Oryzias latipes: one gene and its partners. The protein of the gene in region 1 purifies or fractionates together with the protein of each later gene. This does not show direct contact. Links are inferred from orthologs where the notes say so. Each region holds a gene or a part of one and is shown in the gene's direction. Other genes may lie near its edges. The genes, in order: larp7, lin28b, nat10, ythdc2, srp9, ltv1 and ybx1.

What was found.
Region 2: the proteins of larp7 (region 1) and lin28b purify together in Homo sapiens (affinity purification with mass spectrometry; 3 studies listed by BioGRID and IntAct, with this or other methods). This does not show direct contact. The link is inferred for Oryzias latipes from reciprocal best matches to the Homo sapiens genes LARP7 and LIN28B.
Region 3: the proteins of larp7 (region 1) and nat10 purify together in Homo sapiens (affinity purification with mass spectrometry; 3 studies listed by BioGRID and IntAct, with this or other methods). This does not show direct contact. The link is inferred for Oryzias latipes from reciprocal best matches to the Homo sapiens genes LARP7 and NAT10.
Region 4: the proteins of larp7 (region 1) and ythdc2 purify together in Homo sapiens (affinity purification with mass spectrometry; 3 studies listed by BioGRID and IntAct, with this or other methods). This does not show direct contact. The link is inferred for Oryzias latipes from reciprocal best matches to the Homo sapiens genes LARP7 and YTHDC2.
Region 5: the proteins of larp7 (region 1) and srp9 purify together in Homo sapiens (affinity purification with mass spectrometry; 3 studies listed by BioGRID and IntAct, with this or other methods). This does not show direct contact. The link is inferred for Oryzias latipes from reciprocal best matches to the Homo sapiens genes LARP7 and SRP9.
Region 6: the proteins of larp7 (region 1) and ltv1 purify together in Homo sapiens (affinity purification with mass spectrometry; 3 studies listed by BioGRID and IntAct, with this or other methods). This does not show direct contact. The link is inferred for Oryzias latipes from reciprocal best matches to the Homo sapiens genes LARP7 and LTV1.
Region 7: the proteins of larp7 (region 1) and ybx1 purify together in Homo sapiens (affinity purification with mass spectrometry; 5 studies listed by BioGRID and IntAct, with this or other methods). This does not show direct contact. The link is inferred for Oryzias latipes from reciprocal best matches to the Homo sapiens genes LARP7 and YBX1.

What each region holds. Positions count from the first base shown.
Region 1 is NC_019876.2:11,528,903-11,533,202, reverse strand, and holds the start of larp7 (la-related protein 7), read left to right. Parts: upstream 1-1,500; 5' UTR 1,501-1,627; intron 1,628-2,026; 5' UTR 2,027-2,027; coding exon 2,028-2,235; intron 2,236-2,314; coding exon 2,315-2,415; intron 2,416-3,496; coding exon 3,497-3,580; intron 3,581-3,674; coding exon 3,675-3,839; intron 3,840-3,920; coding exon 3,921-4,005; intron 4,006-4,300. UniProt on the Homo sapiens protein: RNA-binding protein that specifically binds distinct small nuclear RNA (snRNAs) and regulates their processing and function.
Region 2 is NC_019882.2:6,943,544-6,947,043, reverse strand, and holds part of lin28b (protein lin-28 homolog B), read left to right. Parts: intron 1-247; coding exon 248-444; intron 445-3,500. UniProt on the Homo sapiens protein: Suppressor of microRNA (miRNA) biogenesis, including that of let-7 and possibly of miR107, miR-143 and miR-200c.
Region 3 is NC_019864.2:14,876,447-14,880,736, forward strand, and holds the start of nat10 (RNA cytidine acetyltransferase), read left to right. Parts: upstream 1-1,490; 5' UTR 1,491-1,548; exon of another isoform or gene 1,549-1,646; intron 1,647-1,776; 5' UTR 1,777-1,786; coding exon 1,787-1,900; intron 1,901-1,979; coding exon 1,980-2,071; intron 2,072-2,161; coding exon 2,162-2,333; intron 2,334-2,481; coding exon 2,482-2,604; intron 2,605-2,679; coding exon 2,680-2,741; intron 2,742-2,832; coding exon 2,833-2,947; intron 2,948-3,638; coding exon 3,639-3,746; intron 3,747-3,895; coding exon 3,896-4,029; intron 4,030-4,115; coding exon 4,116-4,209; intron 4,210-4,276; coding exon 4,277-4,290. UniProt on the Homo sapiens protein: RNA cytidine acetyltransferase that catalyzes the formation of N(4)-acetylcytidine (ac4C) modification on mRNAs, 18S rRNA and tRNAs.
Region 4 is NC_019882.2:18,466,502-18,470,001, forward strand, and holds part of ythdc2 (probable ATP-dependent RNA helicase YTHDC2), read left to right. Parts: intron 1-559; coding exon 560-677; intron 678-923; coding exon 924-1,050; intron 1,051-1,282; coding exon 1,283-1,348; intron 1,349-3,500. UniProt on the Homo sapiens protein: 3'-5' RNA helicase that plays a key role in the male and female germline by promoting transition from mitotic to meiotic divisions in stem cells.
Region 5 is NC_019882.2:390,040-393,419, forward strand, and holds srp9 (signal recognition particle 9 kDa protein), read left to right. Parts: upstream 1-1,397; 5' UTR 1,398-1,503; coding exon 1,504-1,575; intron 1,576-1,652; coding exon 1,653-1,721; intron 1,722-2,588; coding exon 2,589-2,708; 3' UTR 2,709-2,880; downstream 2,881-3,380. UniProt on the Homo sapiens protein: Component of the signal recognition particle (SRP) complex, a ribonucleoprotein complex that mediates the cotranslational targeting of secretory and membrane proteins to the endoplasmic reticulum (ER).
Region 6 is NC_019859.2:3,981,398-3,985,513, forward strand, and holds the start of ltv1 (protein LTV1 homolog), read left to right. Parts: upstream 1-1,316; 5' UTR 1,317-1,516; coding exon 1,517-1,519; intron 1,520-2,026; coding exon 2,027-2,158; intron 2,159-2,273; coding exon 2,274-2,471; intron 2,472-2,897; coding exon 2,898-2,985; intron 2,986-3,219; coding exon 3,220-3,352; intron 3,353-4,116. Other genes in the region: histone H2A-like, read left to right, coding at 1-252. UniProt on the Homo sapiens protein: Essential for ribosome biogenesis.
Region 7 is NC_019865.2:7,798,218-7,802,502, forward strand, and holds the start of ybx1 (nuclease-sensitive element-binding protein 1), read left to right. Parts: upstream 1-1,485; 5' UTR 1,486-1,621; coding exon 1,622-1,733; intron 1,734-3,275; coding exon 3,276-3,339; intron 3,340-3,565; coding exon 3,566-3,599; intron 3,600-3,688; coding exon 3,689-3,778; intron 3,779-3,847; coding exon 3,848-4,129; intron 4,130-4,285. UniProt on the Homo sapiens protein: DNA- and RNA-binding protein involved in various processes, such as translational repression, RNA stabilization, mRNA splicing, DNA repair and transcription regulation.

The sequences.
Region 1 (4,300 bases):
CGGTAATGTTTAGAGGAATTTTTTGTTAACCTTCCCCTCTTGCAAACGTTGGTCAGTTTAATATTAATACATGCAATTGTGTTTTTAAAAGTGACCTTATGTCTACCCTTGTATTGATCAAGTGGTATATATGGGATTAAGAAAGTAAGCAGTGCTAGCAAATTGTGTTTCCAAAAAGTAATTGTTACATTAATCTAATTCAATGTCCCTGATTTCATTTTCATGTAGATGCAATAATCCTGCAGGAATTAAAAGAACATGGCAGCAGCTAAAAATGAAGTATAAAAACATAATTCAATCAGGTCAAATTTGAGCATGTCATGGAGGTAGGCTTTGTTGACAATATTTGACATATGAAACATCTACATAGCAATACATATCTAATGTTGTTTTCATTGTATATATGTAATTGACTGCAACGAAAAACGGTAACGCTCAAACAAAAACGTATGGGGAAATGCCAAAAAATCGAGTCTAGGTCTCAAAATCCTCGCACGACGTAAATGTAATTCTCTACGAATTAATGCAGCCTCCTCGTCTATTGGGTCCTCCAAAAAAGGACAAGCCATTCTTGTCACTTGTCTCTGTGTGACTGAAATTTGGGCAATGAAGGTTAAAGCGAAAAATACCGCTTCGTCTTTAAAAAGGGGAGGGGACCGGCAGAAACCTTGAGTTTAAAGAATAAAACCTGCTCCCGACCAGGTTAGGTTCACAGCGTAAGTAACTATGGACGCTGACTCCGAGTATAAGTTACCTATCTTTCAGAAACGGGTTTGACTTACTCTGCTTTCTCCGGTTTAACAAACCTCCCATTTTGAAACGGAAAACCCAGGGTTTCCCTGATTTCAGGGTTAACGCACTCAGAGTTTACACTTAACCTCATTTCTGAAACAGGGCCCAGGAAAACATCACGTCATAAAAAATATAAACCATATAACCTCAGACATTAATACAAAACATGTTGGCCCGTACGGGGATCGAACCCGCGACCTTGGCGTTATTAGCACCACGCTCTAACCAACTGAGCTAACCGGCCGTGCGCGTTATTTAAACACAGAGAATAAAATTGTTACGAGGACGACATCTCGGCATATCCATGTTACTATTTACTATTATTATTATTGTTTTTTTTAACCGTCTTAATAGGTAGATTGACCATGTCACTTATCAAAACTAGTTACTTATGTCACATAAAGACATGGGTAGTTTAGTTTACACAAAAAAGAGGACAAAAAAACAACAGAAATAAATAAATGTGTACTTCTTGGATTGGAAACTATCTTTTTACCTGTATTTCGTTTACATTTGAAATGAATGTTTTCTATTGCTACTTTGCGTAAATTTAAATAAATATATTTTTAAAAATGTTGCTGAGTTTTTCTTTTTTCCTTAAAAGTATGAAGTTATTTTTTTTTCTTCACATTAATCGGTGCTGAATTTTCTTGTACGTCTCAATATAATAGAACTTACCGGAAGTTGAATAAACGTCCTGGCGGACAGTTGTGACGACATCATTGTGCGACGTCTCCATTCGAAATATTCTGTGATGTTTGTCCGTTAGCCGCAGTGTTTTTGTATTTTTTGTTATGTTAGTATTAAATTGATGTTTATAATATCTTTTACTCAGGTAAGTTTGCAAAAATAACTACATTTTTAAAAGTAATTTATTGACAGTTAAGCGGAACTTTGCTCGCTTTTATAACTATTTTCAACAACAATACTACTGAATACATGTTTTAAAAAGTCGGACGTACAGCCGTGATTTGGCTTAAGAGCTGTTTTTGCTGAAATTCTATTGTTTTCGCTTTTCAATTTTTTTTTTTTTTTGCTTTACATATGAATGAGATTTGTTTATTGTGTTATGGTTACAAAAATGTCTTGTGTGTAAACCCCAAGACTCAAATGCAGCAAATAAACAATAAACCATAGTAAGATAATTCCTATTATGTGGTTTAGTTTTATTTTTGGAGATTTTTTAAAATCAGGATTTTGGTTTTGTATGAGTGTGTGGGATTCTGTTTTTTAGGATGACTAACACAGACAAGGAGGCAAGTGGAGGCGGTGCTGCCGCTGCACCCAGCGACAAGCTGAAACTTGAGACAGAGAAGAAGAAGAGGTACCGGGTCAAACAGCTGCTGGGAGACGTGAAGAAGCAGGTGGAGTTCTGGTTTGGAGATGCAAACCTCCACAAGGACCGTTTCCTGAAAAAGATTATAGAGGAGTCTGATGATGGATGTAAGGAGCCGTCAAGATGAGGATAGTGTGATTTTTCCAGGGGTTAGGATCTCTAACCTCCGTGTGAATCCCCTTTCAGATGTTGACATATCTGTGTTGACGGGCTTCAATCGAATGAAGAAGCTGACAACGGATCCAAAGCTCATTGCCAGGGCGCTGAAAAATTCCACTCTAGTTGAGGTAAATGTTGTTACTTGGATGCAGGGCTGTGTTTTGTTGACTAATCCAAAGTCACAGAAGACGTAGTAGGTTAAAATCACAAACTCCATGGAAACCAAAACCTCCCAAAAATACAAAACTGGAACAAAAACCAAGCAGCAGACATCAGCATCCAAATGCAGTAAAAATAAAATTCAGAGAAAAAAAGGAATACAATTTAATAATAAAAACAGCGATTAAAAAAAATAATGAAAAGCAAAAAAGGCAAATAAACAGATACATCATCTGAGTTTAATAGCTTTATTACTTTTTAAAGGGAATTAAAGATTAGATTTAAGTATTTTTTATAAAGCAAAAAATTGGGGTGAAGTTAAAAAAACAACCATTAATGAAAAATAAAATTCCTAAAATGATCTAATAATTAACTTAGAATTAAATATGTTTGTCTTTGTATAAAGATCCAAATGGAATAGTATTAGGCAAAAATGAAGTATTTCTTTTTTGTTGTGTTTTTTGAAAGCTAATCATTTAAATCCTGCCAAAAATATTAACCAAATTACAATAATAAAAAAAGATGTTTTAGTATCAGTTTTACACAAAGTTATATTGAATAAATCTAATTCTTCCTTTTTTTTATATCTTTATTGTCATTGTTTTTTCAAAGCTTTAAACAACATCACAACAAAACATTTCAATTCTGGCGTTAAAAGTAATATGTATATATAAAAAATATACACAAAGGAGAAAAAACCTCTATAAGGATTCCACTAAAGTTTGAAGGTTTTTTCTTTTTTTTTAACAATAAATGTAACTCTCTCAAAAGCTAAACGTCGAGGGTGTGTCCATACTCTTCCAATAAATCAAATTCTTAAATATGATTTTGTATAGATATATAAGGAATTGTTTTTAAATGAACTGCTTTTATTTTAAGCATGTAGCAACCGCCCAGTAAGGGCTGTCAAAAGGGAACAGCGAGGGTGGGTGTGATTGGCGCCTGTAGGCCGTTTAACCCCACTCCCAGCCTTATTAGCAGTTCGTTCTAGCTTTGATTTCACTTCGGCCCCTTGAATGAGTTGGGTTTCGTTTTTCTTTTGCGTGTTAGGTTAACCTGGAGGGAAACAAAGTAAGACGTCAACAGCCGCTTGGTGACCCACCCATCAACAGCGACAGCTGCACTGTCTACGTGGTAAAACGACGTCTTCTGTTGTCGCCTTCGCTTGGCTTAAAAACATAATTCAAGCCTTACACATATTTACTGATTTTCTTTCAAATTTTCCAAGGAACTTCTGCCCAAGGATGTTTCCCACAGCTGGATAGAAAGGGTGTTCTCCAAATGCGGGAATGTGACGTATGTGAGCATTCCCAGATACAGGACAACGGGCGACTCCAAGGGTTTTGCCTTTGTTGAATTTGAGAATGAAGAACAAGCGCAGAAAGCAATAGAGGTGAGCTATCCGTGTCACTTTTCCTCTTAAGGAAAGCATTTTTTTTTTCCATCTTAACGTATATTTTATCTCTGAAAACAGATGCTGAACAACCCTCCTGAAGATGCACCCAGGAAGCCTGGGATTTTCCCCAAGACTTTAAATAGGAAGCCGATTCCTGTTACAGGTGAGAGAGTGCTGGTTCAGTGCTATGTCACACATCACTGTATGTTGGCCTGAGCAGCTCATTCAGACTCTGTATATAACAATAAGAAGGTGTTTGTTGGTTCAGCTTGACTGCTTCATTCCAATACCATTGCTTTTTCTCTGTCTGCTCTCCGTTTTCTAACTCATTTATTTAAATCTGTGTCTGCAAACATTGTTTTATGTTTAAGTATCGAATGCAACTGTATGAAAGCTGACACGAAGCTCCTAAACATTCGAGGGCCTTCTTTGTTTTTAAAAGCATTTGTGCTAGACAT
Region 2 (3,500 bases), on another chromosome or scaffold:
CCGCCTCCCAATCTGTCACGGAGATCCAACTTTTCTTTTTGTTTTGTTTTGTTTTATTGTGGGGACGTCGCTCGCTGCGCACCACGCGTCCCGGATTGTTTTTACGTAGAGTCGAAAATACGAATTTTCCACCGTCCGTGAACTTCGCTCTGAGGGTGGAGGGGATTCCCCCCACGCGTCCCGGAGAGGTCGTGCAGAACCCAGTGATCAGGGAGGCTCGGTTGGTCTAACGCGCTTCTTCTTCCAGGAGGGCCGGCGAAAGGTGGAGGAGTCAGAGAGGAGCCCGCTAAAGCTGCCGAGCAGGAGGACAGGACTCGACCTCAGGTCCTGTCCGGGTCCGGGTTCTGCAAGTGGTTCAACGTCCGGATGGGTTTTGGATTTATCTCAATGACCAACAGTGAGGGGAGCCCAGTGGAGCCTCCTCTGGATGTGTTCGTCCACCAAGTAAGTTCAAACACAAAAGCAGCACACATCCTTGTGTGTGTGTGTGTGTGTGTGTGTGTAGTTCTCAGAACTGGGCCCATCCATGCCTTCAAGGGCCCTCAGTTCCGACCAAAGCAGCAGTAAGGGGTGACTTTTGTATCATCTGGATGTTTTGTGTTGCTCAACAAGTTGCTGTGTAATCTGAGGTTGTCCAATGCTTAGAAAAAGAAAAAGTGTTTCCTCTTTGGACCATCAGCTCTCCCCTCCCCTCCCCTCCCCTGCCTCCCTCTGCACTGCTGGGGGACTGGAAGCAGTGCTGTGTGACTGCCTGCAGCAGAGCCTGACATCCAACCAGCTAACAGATTCAAACGTTTCCCCTTTCTGGCTTTTTAGAAGCTTCTGTTTGTTTTTCTATGTAGAGTTTATTTATCAGAGGCCTCTATTTCTACTTATTCCATAGCAAACAATAAGCAGCAAGATCTTCTCCTCCAGCTCCTCTTCTTCTCACATAATGTTTGATTCCATGAAGTGGCTGTGACAAAAACAGGGAGCAGCATTTCTTCTCACCGTTTTCTGTTTTGCAGACTCAGGGGAGATGTACTGAACACGAGGGGTCATGTTGGTTTTAAGAACAGAGGGAATCACTGATTATTAACTTGGATATTGGAATTATATAGATTGTAATTGACTCAAATATTTGGAATTTTGCATTTTAAAGTTGTATAAGAAAAATTGAAGAAACAAATTGCTGCATAAGTTCTTTAACTAGTTCTATGACTTCATGTTCTGTATGATTTCTTGTTTACTATACAATTACCGGTATGAATCCCATTGAGATGCATGTTGTTGTAATATTGGGCTATATAAATAAAATTGATTTGAATTTAAGGTAACTGATTAAATGCAGTATTTTTGAGTATTTAATGAATTTAATGTCAAAAACACAGAAAATAAATACTTATGTGCATGTATAATTTGAATACTTTTAGGATTAAATCTTTTTTTTCTCTCTCAGCCAAATTCATTATAAATAAAAATAAATTCCTTAAATCTCAAAAGTACTTATTCCATTAACCCTATTAGGGTTTTATTATCATCATAATCAATGCAACATTTTTATTAACCAAGAAAGAAACTGTTGATATGTACATTTTATCTGTTAATATTGTGTTTCAAGCAAAAAAAGAAAAAAAAAATCTCAAAGGAACTAACAGAAGCTGAAAGGATGCAAAGACTTTGAAATATTTAATCAACTTAATACCTGCAGGTGTGGTCAGTGATAACATCATCACTTAGATTTATAATAACCTTTATTATCTTTTTAAAAATTCATTTAATGAGACTATCTTCTTAGAATTCAGTTTTTTTTGTAGGATTTAGAGCAGAAAAGCAATACAGAAGAGCATTAGGGACAGGTAAAATAAATGCAAGCAAGTTGCAAACTGCACATGTATTTCATTTATTCACTATCAAGCAGCCTTTTTTCAGCTTTATATTTCCAAATATGATTTATTTGATCTTTTTTTGTTAAGTCTACTGCAAAAGTTGGGGTAATATATAGATAAAAAGTACCTTTTTTATTTTTAGAGGCTTAAAACGCTTATGAGTTTTTGTCAACATTTGTTTGTGCATGTCAACAGATACAGTTGTAGCTGCATCATTGTGCTGCTATGTTGTGATTCATTCGACTAAACGCACCGCATCCAAGTAACAGCGTCCCTGCTTGCCAGGGATGCTGTGGAGGTGGCTTAGGCCAAGGAGCTGAGCTGCAAAACACTCAAACTGTGCAGATTTATTTATTTTGAAGGGGATGCAGGAAAAAAAATGCAGCAATTTGTTGTAACTTTCGATCTCAAAATCCAAAAACATTCAAAATATAAAAAGTTTTTACCTCAAAGCCAAGTTTGACTTTTAGTCTAAAAGATTCAATTAGGCAATAAACAAATAAAAACAAATAACTGTATTTAAATAAAACGGCAACATTTTAAAGTAGATCCATTACAAATACACACATTGAGGATGTGATTTAATTAATTCAATATCCATTGATTTTTCTTTCAGATTTTTTCTCAAAAGCCAATTCAGTTTAACAATTTGAAACTTTTCACAGAACTAGTTATTTATTCTAAATTAATTATAGTAATTAAATGTTGCCTGCCTACACTAATAAGGTTTTTTATGCCTTGCATGGTGGCGAACAAACAGACCCACTTTAATAAAATGATGTTTGTTGTGTTTTAATGTGATTTTCTGATGATGGAGGACTTGGAGGGAGAAAATTAAGTTTAAGAAGAAATGACACAGAGAAATGCTTACTAAACTGAATTTTTTTAAAGAAAATTGTGTAGTTGGTTTTTTCAAAAACAATGTAATATTTTAGTTATTGACTATTGAAACTATTTGGAAATACTTTGAGTGTCTAAAATAATTGAAAGACTATAATTAATTACTGAGAGATAATTTTTTAATGCATGGTGACACATGCACTGCATTTTTCTACGTGGCACACTTTGCTGCTTCACATTTATATTAAAAAATGCAGTTTGCTATTCATAGGCAAAAACACCAGTATTTAACAAATCACCTGTTTGCAATGGTGCAGTTACATCCCAGTGTTGTGTTTACATGGATACAGCTGTCCTAGTTAACAAAGGGAAGAGGACACGCATTTAGAAGCAAATCATCGTACTCAATGCAAAACAGCTCATTTCTTTTGCATGGATTCACATACACCCTCATTAAGGCAGCCACTCATTTTCTTTGGCTGCTCCTCCTTCTCTGCCTCTTCTGCCTGCAGCCCCAAAGCTATTTAGATAGTATTTCCAGGTGCAGTGGGAGATGTTCGCATTTTGAAAAATTGAATTAAAATCTGTCAGTTAGGTTCCAACCCGGCGGGAGCATCTGCGATTTTGATAATAAAAAAGAATTTCTGGATGTAGATTCAGAGGCTGGATGGACAGAAAAGTCTTCAATGTGTGTTTATGGAGCAAGGTTTGCTCTCAGGAGGAGAAGGAAGGATCTATACCTTAAATAAATGAGGAAAAAAAAGGGGTAAGAACGAAGGAGAGGGGAATATG
Region 3 (4,290 bases), on another chromosome or scaffold:
AATGACTGACTGAATAATTTGCACCACACTGAAAACTAAAATTCAAGAAATGCATCGACCCTGGCTCACTTTTGGTGTTTTTTTATCGTACATCATCAGTGGCATTTCCCCCTTTTCTTTTATAAATCAAAGGAATGTCTTCTTTGATATTTGGGAAAAAACATGCAGACTTTAAAACACATGGCCGATTGTAGATCTGGTATTTGATTTTACAAAAGCCACGTGGTTTAGAGTCCCTGAAAACCCTGACGGATTTTATGAATGATTTTATTTCACCTGCTACTGCTGGTCCAAATGATGGGAGCTGTTCCCGTATCTCAGTTTTGTCATTTTGGTTAAAAAGTCGAATCACTTTTTTTCCAAGAACTCTCATTTCCTCGTTTGTAAATTGATGTTGCTTCAAGAGTTTCAATAAAGTTGTGTTGCATACTCTTGCTCTTTAATCACATTTTGTTCTTCAAAGATGCAATGAACCAGGATAAATGTTTGTTTGTATTTCTTATTGTGAAGCTGAGTCTGCTGTTATGATAGTTCTGCATTTGTTTACATTTAACATTTATGTGGTTCAGGATAACTTTAATGCAGAAAGTGGCAAGTGTAGGATATCTAAGCTTTACTTGACATATCTGAGACTGACAGGTGAACTGAAATACTGTAAAAGTTAAATAAAATTATAAATTAGGTTGGAAAATGTTGGAAAAAGTTGTTAGTTGATGAAACTATATGTCTAAGCCTTTAATACACCTTGCTGAAAAGTAATCAGTAATTTGGACAAGTTGTTCGCAGGGTGAGTTGGAATGCTATCCTTTAACATTTTAAGCATTTTCAATTTTATTTTGTTGACAATCTTTACATAATTATTATTGCTTTTAAAAGGAGCTAAAAAGATTCTCTTAGAAACTTCCACTTTTGCAGTACACTCTGTGCCAGAAGCTTTTACAAAAGGTTAGATTTTAAGAAGAAAAGTGAATTACCAGCAAAAAAAACAACTTGCATATCTGTGATATTTAAGAACTACATTTTTACAAATTAAATGTGTCCAATAACTTAAAAATTCCTCCAGTATCAGTATTCTACCCAATATAACCTCAAAAGCTGTGGTTCTGTCCTGTGCTCAACATTTATTTTTTATTTTGTTATAGTAGTTTACTTGAAATTTGCATTTCAACAATTTTTAAAACAAATTGTATACGAAGATATGGCATTTTTTTAAGTGAATGGTGATGTTTTCTTTAAAAATAAACTGCACTTTAGTGGGAATAAAATAGATTTTTTTTGTTCATTATCTGGAAACCTAAGAAACTTCCTCGAGGAATTTCGCAGCTTTTGCTAATTCGTGTTTAGATAATTGCTCAGATGGTTAAAACGAGCTCCCTAAAACTTCTGCAAACAGTTTGCATGTCCTAGGAAAGACTTTTTCTTTGTTATTATTGTTTCCGTCTATCACCTTTTTTGTTTCTGTTTTGTTAATTTAAAAGAAAAAAGAGAGAGAGGTTGTCGCGCAGTTTTGACGTCATCCACGGGTCCTTCATGAACTGTTGTCTCCACGTGAGTGTATCAACAGCGTGTTTTTTTTATTGCTTGATTTGTTGTTGAGTTTTTCTGTAATTTTAAATTCCGACCAACAAAAGAAACTTTAACAGAAGGTAAACGGACAATAGTTTGTTTTCTCAATCCGGTTTTGTTGTTCTCGTTTGCTGACAGATTACCTGGAATTGCTAGCTGGCCTCCTGTATGTCTTAGTTAGTAGTCAGCGTTAATGCTTTTTCTTTGCAGCGCTGCGACAATGGCGACAGTCCGCAAGAAGGTGGACAATCGGATCCGGGTCCAGATAGAGAACGGGGTCGCTTTAAAGCACAGAACCATGTTTGTGGTTGTGGGAGATCGCGGCAAAGATCAGGTCAATCATCAATTCCTCTAGTTAGCAGTCTGATTCAGCAGCTTCCTCCATATTTAGTCATCGTTTTCCTCTGATCCAGGTCGTGATCCTGCATCACATGCTGTCTAAAACTGCTGTCAGAGCTCGACCCTCGGTGCTTTGGTGCTATAAAAAAGATTTGGGCTTTAGCAGGTAAGTAGAGACTCCATCCAGACAGGTGGTTGCAGTGTCTGCAGGGGGAAAGGAGGGCAGCTGTTGATGTGTCCCAATGAATGTGAACAGCAATCGGAAGAAGCGCATGAGACAGCTGCAGAAGAAGATTAAAACTGGCACCCTGAATTTGAATCAAGATGACCCGTTTGAGCTCTTCATTGCTGCCACCAACATCCGCTACTGTTACTACAACGAGACGCACAAGATCCTGGGAAACACTTTTGGCATGTGTGTCCTGCAGGTGAGAAATCTCTATGGTTTTCGCGAATAGAGCTGGTCTTTGTTTAGGCCAATGTGAACCAAAGATTCTCTTCTTCATGGTGTTTGCTCGAAACCAAAGTCTTTGGAAAATAAAGTAGTCTTTTCACACATTTTTTTCTACTACTCAGGACTTTGAAGCTCTCACTCCCAATCTCTTGGCAAGAACAATCGAAACGGTGGAAGGAGGTGGGATCATCGTCATTCTGCTCCGAACCATGAAATCTCTCAAGCAGCTTTACACCATGACCATGGTAAGCTGTGATCTTCGTTCACCTTCGTCGTCTGGTTGGTTTTCGGATTATCTTAGTTCCTGTTTTTCTTTGTAGGACGTGCACGCCCGATACAGAACTGAGGCTCACCAAGACGTGGTGGGCAGGTTCAACGAGAGGTTGGGTTCTTTTTTCTGTTTACCCTTTTTTGAGTTTTTTCTTAGTTGCAGAAAAAAATATTCATAGTGTCTTTTAATTTGTGTTTTTCAGATTTATACTTTCACTTTCCTCCTGTAAAAACTGTGTTGTTATTGACGACCAGCTTAACATCCTTCCAGTCTCCAGCCACATGACAAACATCAAGCCAGTTCCCCCAAAGACCCAGGTACAAATGTTGTCATGGAAACTAATATACCGTTAGTTAATTAAGAGGAGGTTGTAATAATACATGAGGAAAAACCAAATGTATATATTTTTTGCTTGTTTTACTCCGTTTTTTCAACTTCATTTATGTTTGAAATGACTTGACGTTGAGTAAACCGCTTTGTTATTTTTTAAAAAAAGGGTTTATGCTTAATGATGCTTTAGGATTCTGCTTTTGTATTCTTTAAATTCAGGGGAATTCTGAAAAATTCCCTATAGATCTACGATTTTTGGAGTCTGCTGTTTCTCTAGAGCACTCATAAGTGATGTTCAAGAGGGAGACTTCCTTTTCTGCTCACCATGTAAACTTTGAACTTTACTTACATTAATTATTAATAACAGGAATCTATTTGTTTACAAGTGGGGGCATCAGACTAGCAGGGAGCTTGTGCGCCGCTCATTGTGTTATATTTCACAAATGCACTCTTTGTCCAACGGCATTTTTTTTTATCTGCTTCTGATTCACAACAATTTGTATAAAGAAATACTCAAAAATGTATAATTTTGTTTACATATATATCCTGCATCGTGAGAAAAATGCTACTAAACAATTTCAACATTTTCTTTGGAGTGGGTCTTTAAGTTTATCTTTTGGAGTGTTTGTTTTACCAAGGTCTTTAGGTGTTGACAAGCCATCACCTTCTCTTCTCCAGGAGGACGGTTTGTCTCCTCGAGAGCAAGAGCTGAAAGATCTGAAGGAGTCTCTTCAGGACACTCAGCCTGTCGGGGTTCTAGTGGACTGCTGCAGGACTATGGATCAGGTCAGGTCACCTCTAACAGCATGGGTGGTGATAATCTTGATGGCAGAGATCTGAACATACAGAGGGGTTTCAGTAGGAAGTTAAACTTGAATGGGATTGAGCTTAAGAAGGTTTGAATTGTAATTTTTAAGAAGCGCGTCATCCCGTAGGCAAAGGCGGTGCTGAAGTTTATCGAAGCTGTGTCCGAGAAAACCCTGAGGAGCACCGTGGCTCTGACTGCCGCTCGAGGTCGAGGGAAGTCTGCTGCGATGGGGCTGTCTGTCGCTGGAGCTGTGGCCTTTGGGTACATGAGGTTTTTGTTTAGCCCCACGTAAAGAACTCTAGATTCACATTTAAAATTGTTTTGTACAAACATCTCTTCTTATTCAGCTACTCCAACATCTTCGTGACTTCTCCGAGCCCAGACAACCTCCACACCATGTTTGAATTCATCTTCAAAGGTTTTGATGCTCTGCAGTATCAGGTAGGTGCTAAGATCTTCTCTCTGTCGGTGGACAGTGACTCTCACCTGATGTTCTTCTCATTTGCAGGAGCATCTGGACTA
Region 4 (3,500 bases), on another chromosome or scaffold:
CTTCCATTCAGCTCCTGAATGCACCTCATGCTGCGGCAAGTGTTACTATTAAATCTGTGCACTGTGCAATAAAGTCAGAAAAAAATGTTTGAACCAACTCTGGTTGGATGTTTGTTGTAGCAGCAGACACTTAAAAGTCATGGTTGTGAGTTTGAGCCCCCTGACAGAAATGTTAGGCAATGCTTCACCTGCCAAAGTGAAACTGTTTTCTACCCACCACATTGAATTTAGAGCCCTGTTTTTAGCTATGAGAAAAACAATATCTTTACTTTGAAGTAGTAGATAATACAATGAAGGTAATTTTGGAGCCAAAGTGGTGATGTTGGCCATTCTGGTGTAAAAATCCAACACTTGTTTTCTTCATGTCCATATGAGACTTCAAAGATGCTTTGTCTATAATACTTTTCTGATTTAACCCCAAAACCAAGGTCATGGCCAAGAGACATATACCAGTCCAAATAGAGAGATCATCAACCAATGTCTCTAAATTGATTATGTTAAACTGAAAGAAGGAAAGATTATAACTGTCTTATTGAAAACTTCTATCATTCTGTTGTAGGGTGAGAAGACAAGGCTGCAAAGACAGATAGATGCTTGCATCTCCAAGCTTTTTTTTTATGAAGACCAAGAGATTTTCTGTCAGCTCTTCAGTCTAATCCTAAATGAAGGTGTTGATGGTAAGACTCTCTAGAGTGACCTGCTACTGTGTGCTCTTTACTGTATTCAATTATTATGGCAGTTTGAAATGATTTCTTTAGAAATTCCTCTTGGAAGTCTTTATTTTAAACATTTCTTTTGTTCAGGACCTAGATTTTGCCTAGAAGTAGCACCATTGTTTTACTTTTTGCCCCTGGTTATGTCTTCTGTGGTGGTCGTACCCCTGGAGCCATGTTTATGTTTTTTCCTTGTAAACTGTTCCACAGTTGACTGCTCACACAGTGAGACTGGTGCTACACCTCTGATGATGTCAGCAGCCCGAGGATTTGTCACACAGATGCAGCAGCTGCTTAGCATAGGTGCTGACCTCAACAAAAGGGAATCAAATGGATGGTACGACCTCAGTGTCTTTAAAGTTCTGGTTTCCTTCTTGATCTTTCACTTTACAAATGGATCAGTTTTCAGTATGTCAAACTTAAGACCATTACATTGATGTTCTAAGATGAAAGAAATATGGTTTTTGATACCAATAAAGTAAGCAGCAGTATGAGCTTCAAATCTAACTCTGAAGCCACCACCAGCCATAAGTTGTACAAATCTGCTGATTGCCATTTTGTTGTTTCAGGACGGCTTTGGACTTTGCCAAACACTTCCATCAAACAGAAGCAATAGATCTGCTCCAGTGTTGCAAGTGAGCCATTCCTTGATCCTAATTAGTTTCAACAAATAAAGAGCACGCTTAGCACTATCTCTGTCCGATACAAATATATGGCAGTATTAGGATCCTGGCAATACTAGTATAACAATAATGGCAAATTCATATGAAACCTTTGGTCCTTTCGAGCCACTGTCTTGCTTGTATTTCCCTCTAACCCTTCCTGTTCTTTTGAATACCTATATTTCAGGGGTACCCAATACTTAGATCCTTCCATTGCAAAAAAAGTGTGAGAAAATCAAAGGGCATTTAAAATAAGCAAAAAACATTTAAAATATATGTTGTTTTTAAGTAAGCCATTCGAATGTCTTCTGATATATACAGTGGGGAAATAACTACTCAGTCAGCCACAAATTGTGCAAGTTCTCTCACTGAAAAAGATGAGATAGGCCTGTAATTTTTCACATAGATAAACCTCAACTATGAGACAAAATGAGAAAAACCTATGTGTAAATGATGGTGGTAAATACCGTAATTCCCGGACTATAAGCCGCTACTTTTTTCCTGCGTTCACAGCCCTGCGGCTTATTCAGTGACGCGGCTAATTTATGGATTTAATTGGCGGCCGCCATGTATGTACATTTGGACTCAGTGAATAGTTTGAATTTTTTATCTAACACTAAGCACGAGTCATTTGTTTTTCAGCAAACTAAGTAGCCAAACAGCATGGACCTCACTTCAGGACTTAGACACTTCAGTCATGGTTCAACAAAAAGAAACACGCATGCCCGGCCGCATCCCAGAATCCTTTGGTGCCATTAGACCCAACGTGCACGTGATCGCCGCTACAATATGATGCAGCTTTCAAGTTAAAAGCAATGGTTAAAAGCAGCGTGAAAAAATCCACCATCACCAACGGGTTTGGAAAAGCCGGTCAGCTGTGTGACGGAGAGAACAGCGCATGCTCAGGAGTGAATTTACCTCTGAGTCATAATGACTCAGCTGGCTGCACGTAAATATGTGGGAATAACATCAGCCTTTATTTTGTCGGGACACGACTGGAAACACAAATCCACGTGGTCGTTTTAACGGTTTCTAAGGACTGACCGGAATTTTGCATTGAAAAGCTCACAGCCTCCGTGTGAGCTGGAGACATGTTCTCCTGGCTACTGCTCGTTCACATAGAGCTGCGGGGCCAATGGCAGTCTGAAGGCTCCCACACGTAACAACGCATCCGCCCCTCATCCACAAAACGTACAGTTTTAAGTCCGATTGCTCTGCACAGACACGATTTGCTCCTCCCTGGAGCCGCCCTGGCCAGATGTGTCGGAGAAGATAGGAAGGGGAGCGCGCGCGGCGAGCGCGGAGCTCAGAGGCGTCCGCGGAGCTACAGTGTTTGTTGTGAAAGGAAACTTCTGACGCACGCGCCACGCTGAGGCGCGCGCTTTTCAGTCGCCGCTGCTTTATTTTACTGCTGTGTGTTTTTTTAACCAGCCCTGTTACTCCCATAATGCTGCCGCGACACAAGCGGAAGGAGAGCTGTTCCTTTTCGCCCCTCCATCCACTGCTGCTATTGCTCATTCTTAAACACGTACAACAGTGAGGCGAGCCGGGCGTTGGCCCCGCCTTTTAGCCCCTAAGACTCATGGGAAATGGGGGATCGTGAATGTAAATTTCCTCATCATAACTGAGGGATGTAATGTTGATTATATGGTTACTGTTTGTAATTTTATGTGTGATACCTAGATTGTCAATAAGTAAAAAAAAAAAAAAAAATTAATAAATAAACCATAACTGAGGAACTTGTGAACAGAATAGAGGTCCATGCTGTTTGGCAGATGTGGGCACACTCAAATACATGAGCTTGAGGCAAGGCTGACTCCTCCAACAGTGAGGTAATGAACCTTACCTATTCTGTGAGTCAGGACGAGACATGCGGCTTTAACTCCGACGCGGCTTATGTATGTTTAAAAATAGTTGAACACGCGAAAATGGGTGGGTGCGGCTTGTAATCGGGTGCGCTTTGTAGTCCGGTTTTTACGGTAAGTATTTGGTTACCTACAAACAAGCTAGATTTCTGTCTCTCACAGACCTGTAACTTCTTCTGTAAAGGATCCTCTGTCCTCCACTGGTTACCTGTATTAATGTCATCTGTTTGAATGGTTATCTATATAAAGCTACCTGCCCA
Region 5 (3,380 bases), on another chromosome or scaffold:
AGCAGATGAAGAAAAGCAGCAGAGATGGGGCCTGTTTGGGGCTGCGAACACACGCACGCCCTCACACACGCGTGCACACTGTGGTTTCAACAAACAGTGAAGGATCCAACAAACGGGCCAAATGACCTTCTGCTGAGATCCAACAGACATACATTGGAGGGGGGGAACTGACTGATGAATGCCCCCCCCCCCCCCCCCCACACACACACACCCCACCCCACTCACTCACAAAAGACAGGATTATCCAAAAAACGTGTCCTGATGAAGAGGAGCGGGAGAAAAGGAGTCTTCCTGTGCTTCTTTCTCCGTGACACGTGAGCGCCCTCTGGTGTCCAAAAGATGAACTTTTTAACCGCCTTAAACTTGAATGCAGAACATTCGACAGTGAAGGTTTTACATTTAGCTGAATGTTTATGTAAATATACCACATGAATAAAATTATCTCAATATTCAAATTATTAGGAACATATATTTTATCAGCTTATTTTCTATTTCAAATTCTCATTTCAATTTTTTTTCAAACACAAATAAAAATAATTAGAAGAGTTTAAAATAAACAGATTATGCCGGGACAGTGTGCTTGAAAAACATTCACGTTACATTCTGCATAGCACGTCTGCAGAAGTGACTTTTGGTATCTATTGACCTGCTGCCCTCAGAAAGGCGCTACAGGTGCATCAGAGCGAGGACAAACCGCCTTAAGAACAGTTTTCCCCAAAGCCATAACCATCCTGAACTCACATTCACTGACAGCTCCACACCAACACGCACACGCACGCACACACACCTCTCTCTCCTCTCATTATGTGCAGTATATCTCTGCTATCATGGGCACAGCAGTGCAATACCTGCTTCACTGCGGAAAGTAAAACTTTTCAGCGAAATGGTTTCTTGTACATTTTTGTACTTTTGTAAATTGTACATTCTTTTGTGAAATTATTTTTCTTATGCATGTCTGCACTGTACAGTGATTGGCTCTCATTTCACTGTATGCGCGTGTGATGCGAATCTTACACTGTATAGTGACAATAAAGGCATTTTATTCTATTTTATTTCTTGTCCATCAGTCGCGTCTCGAAGATTTTTTTAAATGCATGTAAATTTTAGTTTGTTCTAAAATTTCATCCAATTTAAATAAAAAACGAAAATCCCTATTTATATGGCCCTATAACCTTTGGCTCAACTAAGACTTCCGGGTGTCTATTTTCAATATTTCCAAAGTAAAAGCCTAAATCTGCCTGAAGGTTTTAAACCACAGCGTTTCAGTGACTTTTTTCCCAACCAACCAGGACGATGAACGTCCAAAACACTGAACACTGTAAGTTTTAAATTTGTTAAAAACATATCTTTAAAAATGTGTTTTTTTACCTTTACCTGTTTTGTTTTGAAAAGACAAAGCGGATGTTTCCGCCTTCTCTTTCCTGCTTTCCTGACGCTGATGTGGTGTTCCGTGGTAACCACTAAGTTTCAGATTCAATCTTTATCTAACTGGCAGTAATCGAAATGCCGGTCTTCCAGACTTGGGACGAGTTCGCTCGCGCCGCAGAGAAACTGTATTTAACGGATCCTATGAAGGTGAGCCGCTGAACACCGGGAACGCGCGTTAGCATGCTAATGCTAGCATGGCGGGGTCTAAAGCTGAGTGTCTGCAGGTCCGAGTGGTCCTGAAATACCGCCACTGTGACGGAAGCCTCTGCATCAAAGTCACCGACAACGCCGTGGTAGGTTTCTGGGGTGGGGGGTCTGGATTCATCGATCCGGTCTCTGTAGACCTGATCCAGGTGTGCTGTGGACGGCCATGGGGGCGCGCACGGCTTCTTCCAAATGCCATCGGTTTAGTTTCCTTAACCCTCGTAGCATAAGTTCACGTGTCCAAAGAAAAAAGGCGTTTATTGACACGCGCGTGGAAAGAAGTCTGCTGTAAACAGAAACAGGCACGTGAGACAATCATACCGGTTAAAGTCCGTGACCAGGTGGATGACGTGACGTTAATTATTCAACCAGAAGCAGAAGTTCAGCTGTTTGGTTCAAATCCTTCATCACAGAAGCTGACTCCTCTTCATCAGTTCATAGTGTTCAGTCAGGAAACAGACTCCAGGTCGTTTCAGGCATTTCTTATTTCAGACTTTTATTTTGAAACAGAAACGCCGCTAATGACCGGCTGACTGTTCCGGAAGTTAGAAGACGTTCTCTTGGAGCTTCCGGACCTCCTCTCAGCACAGCAGCTGGGTCGGGTCAGAGTCTATCTGGGTCCAAAGCCCGGCTCTGTTCTGGGATCCTGGTTCCAGTTCTGAACGGATCCGGGATTCCAGAACAGTGGTTCTGTGATCAGGAGCAGATGTGGCACTAAGCTCCGCCCTCGACAGTTCCAGCAGAACCCATTGCTGGACGCTGACGCTAGAAAGGGGTTGAGGGGCGGAGCCAGAAACGTCCTGTGAGCCTCAGTCACTGTGAGCCCCTCCCCCTATGGGAGGACAGATGCTGTTGTCATGACAACAGCTGCGGTTGGCGCTTGGTGACAACCGCTCAGACATAAACTCGCCACCGTCTGCGGCGTCCTCTCCATCACCTGTTGTCTCCGCCTCCAGTGTCTCCAGTACAAGACGGACCAGGCCCAGGACGTCAAGAAGATCGAGAAGCTGCACGGAAAGCTGATGAGACTCATGGTTTCCAAGGAGACGCACAGCGGCGCCATGGAGACGGACTGATGCTGCGGATGCTCTGTGATGTGTTTGGGGGGGGGGGTCCTGCCCTGATGGAGCGTCAGGGGAGGGGTTATATTTATATCATATCTTTGTTTGTGTGACTGAAACGGCGGCGTTGCCCCCCCAGGCCTTTTCTGGGACTCTTTTCTGTATTAAAGTTTCTTTTCCAGCTGCTCTCCTGCCTCCTGCTTCATCAGAGCCTTGGTGGTTCGTTGCTGTCAGGACTTTCCTGAAGGTGGCGCTCTGCGCTCCTGCCCGCTTTCCCGCCCTAACCTCTATAAAACCATGCAGTGCTTGGATTCTAACAGCTGGTCGGACGCTACGCTCACTGGTTTCCAAACGGCAGAGGTGACGGTCATTTATGAGTCCACGGTCTTCTGAAGATGAAAACGTTGAGGGTTTATAAAAAAATACGTTTTTGGCAAAAATTGTTCCGATGCAATGCATTGTGGTCTATATGTGGTCAGAGACTTCTGGGAAATTTCTGGGATTTTAGAATTGTGGATTCTGACGGCACTACAAGGGAAGGAATTCGGACAGATGTTTGGAACCAGAGCAGCCTCAAACAGAACCGGGCCTCACCTCCAGAACTCTGGACTGTTTCCCCTGAGAAGGGAACTGGCTCCGCCCCCTTTGCAGTCACGTGACAACATGACAGCTACCGAGTAATCGAGA
Region 6 (4,116 bases), on another chromosome or scaffold:
GCCGGAGCCCCCGTGTACCTGGCCGCCGTGCTGGAGTATCTGACCGCTGAGATCCTGGAGCTGGCCGGAAACGCCGCCCGCGACAACAAGAAGACCAGGATCATCCCCCGTCACCTGCAGCTGGCTGTCCGCAACGACGAGGAGCTCAACAAGCTGCTGGGCGGAGTCACCATCGCTCAGGGCGGCGTGCTGCCCAACATCCAGGCGGTGCTGCTGCCCAAGAAGACCGAGAAGCCCGCCAAGACCAAGTAGATACTTAATGATCCACCAACAACACAACGGCTCTTTTAAGAGCCAAACACGTCTCTCTTTCAAAGCATCATCCTCTAATTATATGCTATGTTAAACATAAAACCTGGCATATTTAATGTCTCTAAACCCTTTGTAGGATTTACTTAACACATTTCTCTTTACTGAAGAAACTGCCCTGCGAGAAAGATCTTCTGATACAAATGTTGATAAGCTTTGTAAGCTTCTTTTACCTATACTCTGTGGTTCACAAGCGCTTTTTATTTTTTATAGAAATTTTACAGAAAAGCTGTTTGCACTGAGTCGACAGACATTTAATCTGTGCTGTATATCGTGTGTGTGTGTATACAGTAGTTGTGAAAATAAAGTTGACTTGACGTTGCATACCTAACATAATTGGTCTTTAATTCTTTTAGTATCTAAGGCTTTTCAAAAGCATTGGGTCAAGTTTTTTTTTTTTGCACATATAAAGTTATGCATTTCGAATTCTAGCTTTTAGCCCATGATTATTTGACAAAATTGAAAAGAAATTAACAAACTGTTTAAGAATGCCATTTATAAAAAAGAAATCGTGCAAATATAATTGGAAGTGGGTGAAATACCATGACTGACGTTAAAAATCGCAATTAAGCAAATTGAATGATCGGCTTCCATTACATTTCTTAATCATCTCAACCAGGCCCCTGAATCCATGTAGGTTTTCTTGAATTAATCAATAGGTGGCGATAGTGCAACAGGTCACTGTTAATGAACCACGACTAAACCCGAAGAAGAAAGGGATGTTCCATTAAAGCTTTAGACAGCAAATATTGAAACTGTACAAATGACAATACAGCAGCTATTTAAAATCAGTATTAAACCTTGAGCCTTCTTTATATGATTATGTCTGGTCCAATAATAAGAATGGGTCTCGTGCAGGTTTTTTGCTTGACCATAATCGTATCGGTTCACCCCTTCATCGTGTTCCAAATGGTCCCTTCCTTGAATCAGTAGCAGCATGTTGCTCGATCGTGTCCACCATAGGGTAGACACTCCTTCTTTACCGATACCAACCAATCACAGTGGAGATCAGCAAAGCGCCCCGCCCACATGGCCCCGATCCGATGTTAACAAGGCCACGAACAAACTAGCGTGTCCGATCAAGAATTAAAGTAGCTGCCAAAGAACGATTGTACTTTTATTGTTACATTTTTTTGTGGTTTTACTGTTTGCCTGTGGAGGATTTACCTCACCAGCTTTTTCGGAAGAAAAAAGAGCGCTATAAAAAATGGTATGGAGACACATGTACTTACTTAGCTAACAGTTTTAGCTTTAGCTAACAACTCCTACTGCAACTGTTTACTAAAAATCATTTAGATTTTTATTATTTTACCAGGTTGCATGTTTTATGCAGGATTCACTTTAAGAATAGTGTTATTTTATTCTTTACCTTTCATTTTGAACAAATTAACATAACAATTTTAGCTAACTTATTCTGGGTTTATTTATGAAGTCTGAATTTATTCTACTTTTTTGTTTGGAAGCCGATTAACTAGGTAATAACAGTATTCCGTAATTCTGTTTTTGTGGTTTTTGTGATATTTATTACTCTTTGGTTCTGTTATATTTTATCCCTGAGTAAATATTTCAAATGATATACGATCCGGAGGGTTTTTTGTTTGTTTTTTGATAAAAGTCCTACTTTATCTTGATACTCTCATAAATTAATCCAAATATACTTGGATTCAGTTTTATTATATTGCGTTTCATGGAATACTTGCCTTTGTGTGTTTTGTAGCCGCATCGAAAGAAGAAAGCCTTCATTGAAAAGAAGAAGGCCGTGACCTTTCACCTTGTCCACCGCAGTCAGAGGGATCCCCTGGCTGCTGACGAGAAAGCGCCACAACATGTCCTCCTTCCTGCAGCAAAGGTGCTCTGTCTGTTATGTAGAAGCATATTTATTGATTTTTAATCCACTTTGCATAAGGACATGTGATGTAATAGTTGTGTTTCTAAAAGACTTCTTGGATGGTGGTTTTGTCCAGGTGGACACGGAGAAGAGACACGAGGAGCAGAGGAAATTTGGTGTCTTCTTTGATGACGACTACGATTACCTGCAGCACCTGAAGGAGCCATCCGGCCAGTCAGAGCTGGTTGCTGCTGTTTCATCGAACCGTGATGGAGGATCTGTTCAGTTCCTAAATGAAGGGGACGATGAGATGGAGCAGGAGGAAGACAGTCCCGTGAGTTAGACATGAAATCCTCTAAACCAGGGGGCCTGACATTTTTCAGACCACTGACAGGTTTAATGTTGGACAATGTTTTCACAGACTGGCCTGTTTAAAGCTGAAGTAGGCATCAGATGTCTTTCTTTTTTATCCTTTTGTTCACCTTCAAGGAGATTATCCTTGTCCTCTGTAAAATATCTGCAGCTGCTTTAACTTTATTTCTACACACTAGATGTAGTGTGTTTTCAATGTGATCTAGACGTTCTCCTAACCCAGGAATGTCAACGTGGAAGCTAAAAAGTCTGACATCATAAGCAGCAACTCAAATGTGATACTGATCTACTGTGTTTAAGTGTCACCATCAACAATTAAATTGTATTTTAAGATCTATAAGTACGATCAAATCGTAGGAAACATCCTAACTGTGTTTTGTTTGATCAGGTTGCCACGCTGCACTTGCCTTCTTCTGTGTTCGCCTCAGAGTTTGAAGAGGAGGTGGGACTCCTGAACAAAGCTGCTCCCATTTCTGGTAAAATTCTTTTTTTTTTCCTGCAGATTCTCCTTGTAAAAGAAAGATTAGAGATCCGTGGATCTGAGCAGAACAGTGGACCTTGGAGCTCTTTGACATCATGATCTGTTTGGAGTTGTTGTGTAAAACCTTTCCTGTGTAATTGCATCAAACCGATTGATTACTTTTATTTTTTAAAGCTTAATATTGTGTAAAACTGGTGCTCATCCTTGCGGTTTCTTTGTTCTTTTTCAGGACCTCGCCTGGATATGGACCCCGACATCGTTGCTGCCCTCGATGACGACTTTGACTACGAAAACCCCAACAACATTTTGGATGACGACTTTATCACAAAAGCAAACGGACCGGCGGGAGGCTTAGAAACAGAGTGAGAAGACTCTAAATATCTTAAAATAATAATGTCTGCTGGTTTAACTCCATCTGAGCAGCTTTCTGGAGAGAAGTTTGAAGATTTCTGATGTCTCTCCTTTCAGTTTTCAAGCAAAGATGGCATCGGCTAAACAGTGGGATGCTGCTCTAACAGCACATGTCATTTAAATGTTAGGAATGTTCCGATCTGATTCGTGTCATTTTGATTTTGAGGATCTGCTGACACCGAGTCCCGATCCAGTCGTTCGGTCTTACATTTAAAAAACAAACACGTTTAATAAACAGATCCAGGTTTTCACCTCCTTACACCGATGAACCCTTAAGCGTTTCACCTCCGTGAAGCAGCTTGAACAAAAAAAAGGGAAAATAGTTAACTAGAAATAAAGGTGATAATTAGTCATGTGAGAAAGTTTGGCGATTGTAGCTTTAGTGTCATCATAGCTTTTTTGACTGTCTGTCCATCCAACCTTGTGTTTTTGTGTATTTTGTGGTATTTGTTGATTTCTTTGGGTTATTTGTAGCTTTTAGGGGTTTTTGCCGGCTATTACTTTGGGGTGGTGGAGGCTCTGCATTTAGAGGGAGACCCCCCCCCCCCCTCTCCCCCTTTGCCCTGTATACAGCCATGGTCCAGTCATTACATACATAAATATTCATCATCATATTCAAAATCAACTTGGTGGGGATTTTTCCTTATAAAGTGTTTTAATGCATGTAACCATTGTGCTATCCTAGGCACTTTAACATTGGGAGTGGGGTCATCTA
Region 7 (4,285 bases), on another chromosome or scaffold:
AGTGAAGCAGTACAATACCAGGTTATAACAACTAAAAAAATATGTGAAAGGAATACACACCCTACATACAAAACGTCCGATCTGAAAAAAATCTCTTTTTTTCAAGAAACACGGAGATTGTTTCAAATATTCCAGTCAGTGCTGGAATATTTTCTATATTTCTATTTAATATTTCTCAAAAAAGGGCAGGATTGTCTTGAAAGTTCACTTTAAATATGGAGTTATTCTTGTTCTCACCATTTAAGGCAGGCATGTCCAAAGTCTGGCCGGTCCAAGGTGGGTTCAGAAACCTGTCAAAGGTTTCTTTCTAGATCTCTACAAAGTCTGGCCAAATGCAGCCCTCCTGAAAGCCTCTTCTAGCCTGCTGGTACCTTTTATAAAAATAAATGTGCTCCCAGGAAACTGTGTATGATTTCTTGATTATGATTGCCTACTTTATAAACCATTTTAAACCTATGGCAACACTATGATGTGACCCTTTTGCAATACCTTTTAGCTCATTTCTAAAATGTCGACTGTAAATTTAACAAATGTTGACAATTGGGGGTCGCTGCTTTCAGGACAAGTAGAAATTTGTGTATTTTTTTCAGTAAGATACTAAACATGCAAGAGGCTGGATGTTTTCAAGAAATTCAATATCAAGAGGGACTACAAGACAAGACATCCCAACTATGCCAAGCTAACTAGGAAAGAATGGTGCATGGTTTTCACATGTGAAATTCACTGTCATTTTGTTAAAGATTTATTAAGCTCTTCTTTTGTTCTATGTGTAGAAAATACAATTAATATGCAATAAGCATTTCCCTTAAACAGTTCATGTGCATTTAATGTTATAAGGGTTCAAAGAATGCAGGTTGAATGGTTGGTCCTCACAAATGTTCACCTCACAAAATCTAATTCTCTTTGCAAAAAGTCAAATCTAAAAATTTGCAGATTGGATCTTTTGTATTTTGGTTATCAAGTTTGGTTTTTGATGTTTAATCATCACTATTTACAGGTAACAACCATTCATTTTAAAAGTAAAAATAAAAAAGCAATATTGTGGATGTTTTTTTAAATTTACAATATATTCTGATTCTTTTGTGGGAGTCAAACTTTTTGAAATTTTACATAAATTGTTAGCCTCCAGCAATATTTAAAAGTAGGCTAATATTTCCTAATAATGCCATAAAAATGTTGTTTAACTACGGTTTTAAAAGGGGTTTACGTGGATCAACACTAGCTTTATGCGTCTTTTTTTTTAGTTTTATGCATCTGACACATGATTACAATGGGGCGGTGAAAACTGACAGGTACGGTACCTTTAACCAACCGTTCGTGAAAACGCGTCGCTTCAACTAGACTGACAGTAGTCTAGCCAATCAGAGGACGCCTTTTTTCTGTGACGCATTCAGTCAATAATTCCAGCCAGTGAAAAGCTCGAATGGGCGGGGCCACAACCAAGAACATTCCCCAACACAACTACTGATTCTGCCCAGTTCGATCGGCAACGGGAGCGGAAAGAGGAAAGCTGAGAGCCCGAAGGCAGTAGCCCCCACCACCGCCGGCCCACGTTACCATCTAGCACCGGGAAAAATAGCAGAGAGCCGCCGCCGGCAGAAGCCATTACCAACCAGTAACTATGAGCAGCGAGGCCGAGACACAACAACAACCACCGCAGCCTGCTGCCGATGATGCGGAAAGCCCATCCAGCCCGGCAGCTGCAGCTTCCGCGGGGGATAAGAAGGTCATCGGTAAGACTGCCGACTCCACTTAGCTAACTAGATGCTAAACGTGGTTTATGTTGCTGTAAACGAGACAGAAACAGCCGTTGAATTATGTTAATGTAAAATGACCGTTACGATCAACTTTATTAAGTAGTTGGACGTTAAACCGTACGTCGAATTGTGATACCAACTGTCAATATAATTATACATTTTAAAAACTGTCAGTTGGGAACGGTTATTCATTAATAGCGTATCATTCTCATTAACTATGAGATGTCACAAGTTTAGGAAAAATCCACATCTTAGAAATGTAGTAAATAACCACTTAATCCATGATTTTCTGTCTTGGTGGGAAAACATTTGCGAAAAAGAGACGCATGCATCCAAACGGCCGTCACATGGATGATCGTAGGAGTAATTTATGTCAGATCCAGCATGTTTACTACCAGACGTTGCAGACCTTTATCTCTCACCGTTAACCGCCAAAAGTACGAACAAAACCCGAAAAAATGACGAATAAATGTTTTAAACTTGGAAATACCCTGCGTTAGTTCACACTAACAAGTTCACCGGCAACTGACGCTAGCTGCTTACTATCCCTTTGTTCGCACAAGTGTCGAATCCCTGTATTCTCTGTCAAAGCTTAAAGGTGGTTGTTTTCAAGTTTATTTTGTAACTATTAGATATATTCAATAATAAACGCTTTGGGATTTGTATTCAAACCGTCCTAAGCTTTAACTCGATTTTTTTTTTACATTTTCGGTGAGGCCTAATTATTTCACGATAGCTTTCCAGTTGCTAACGATGCTAATGTTAGCCTAGCCAGCTAGCTGGCTGGCTATTTACATGGCTGAAAAGGCCACCCAAAATGTCCGCCGTTACACGATCCGTTTATACGTTACAGTTCTATTCTAGCTCGGTTTAGGTACTAAAAGCGCTTGCTTAAGTAGTTTCGAAGTAACATCTGTAAGATGTTGATGGGTTTATTACGTTGGTTTCCGCTTTTTGGCTATACTCCAACCACATGGTTGTAACTCTTAGCTACACGGCTAAGCTAAGAAGCCAACTCGGCTTGTTTTTCGGTCTGTCCGTGTGCGACCCTACCACGTGTGAACGCTCACGTCGTGAACTGGGCGTCTTAAAATGGGGCAGTAGGTCTTTAATGTCCGAGTTCTCTAAATGCAGTTGCTAAACGCGAGGTTACTTGTTTTGAAGTTTGACGTGTCGTAAGCTCTGTTCCCCGTGTTATCCGCATTCCTTCCACACATTTGCAGTCAATGTAATTGGACTGTTTTCTACCATGGCCGGAGCTTCACACCGGGAGCAGCTGGCGCCAGGCTCTCCTAAGCATCAGCATCTATAATAAGCACGACAGTTGGAAGTTATTTTTAACGTCCACACTATGGCTAGTTTTTTCCTGCACATATCTTATTATGTGCGATGCTTTGACTGTTCCCAATCTATTATCATATTTTCAAAATTTCATTACTGCTATTCTAAAATTACCTTTGCAGCTTAGAGAAGTAATATTGACACTTGATAACTGAGTTGCTCTGTTTTTCATTGCAGCAACAAAAGTCTTGGGTACAGTCAAGTGGTTCAACGTCAGGAATGGATATGGTTTCATCAATAGGTAAATGACCACCTCCAGCGTTCCCAATCCTATTATGATTATTGCTTTGCTAACGTGGCTGACCTGATTATTTTTTCTAGTGGTCTGCATGCACACTGTAACCTGCAAGACTTCATTAATCCTTGCACTTGTTGGCTTAGTTGCAATCTGTCTTCAGAGGTGTGTTGTCTTAGTAAGTCATGTGTGGTATAACTGAATCTTTTTATTTTTTTCTCTTTTTGTTCAGGAATGACACAAAAGAGGATGTTTTTGTACACCAGGTGACCTATTATTTTCCAAACCTTTTGGAAACTTAAAACATTTTTTTTTTATTTCGACTAATTCACTTTTCAATTGTTGATGATTTCAGACAGCCATAAAGAAGAACAACCCAAGGAAGTATCTTCGCAGTGTTGGGGACGGAGAGACTGTGGAGTTTGATGTAGTTGAGGGAGAGAAGGTAATGTTTTGGGAAGAATTTGGTTATGTTTGCAGGCATGTTGTCAATTTTAAACTTATCTGTTAACAGGGTGCAGAGGCAGCAAATGTCACTGGCCCTGGAGGGGTGGCTGTCCAGGGAAGCAAATACGCTGCTGACAGGAACCGCTACAGGCGTTACCCACGCAGAAGGGGGCCCCCTCGTGGAGGAGAATACCCAGAGAACTACCCAAGTGATGGAGAAGGCGAGCCTGGCAACGGAGTGCGTGACAAAGGAAACAGAGACGGGGGAGAAAGCGCCCCTGAGGGAGAATCGCAGCCACAGCAGCGCAGACCCACTTACCCCAGCAGACGACGCTACCCACCATACTTTGTACGTAGACATTATGGTCGTGGACCCCCGTACACCAATGCACCACGCGGAGAAATGACTGTGGTACGCGGTCACCAGGCTGCTATCCAGAAGTAGGCAACCAGTTGTACCATGACAGTCGAGACACTTGCTCTTCTCCCAACATGCTCCTTGGTA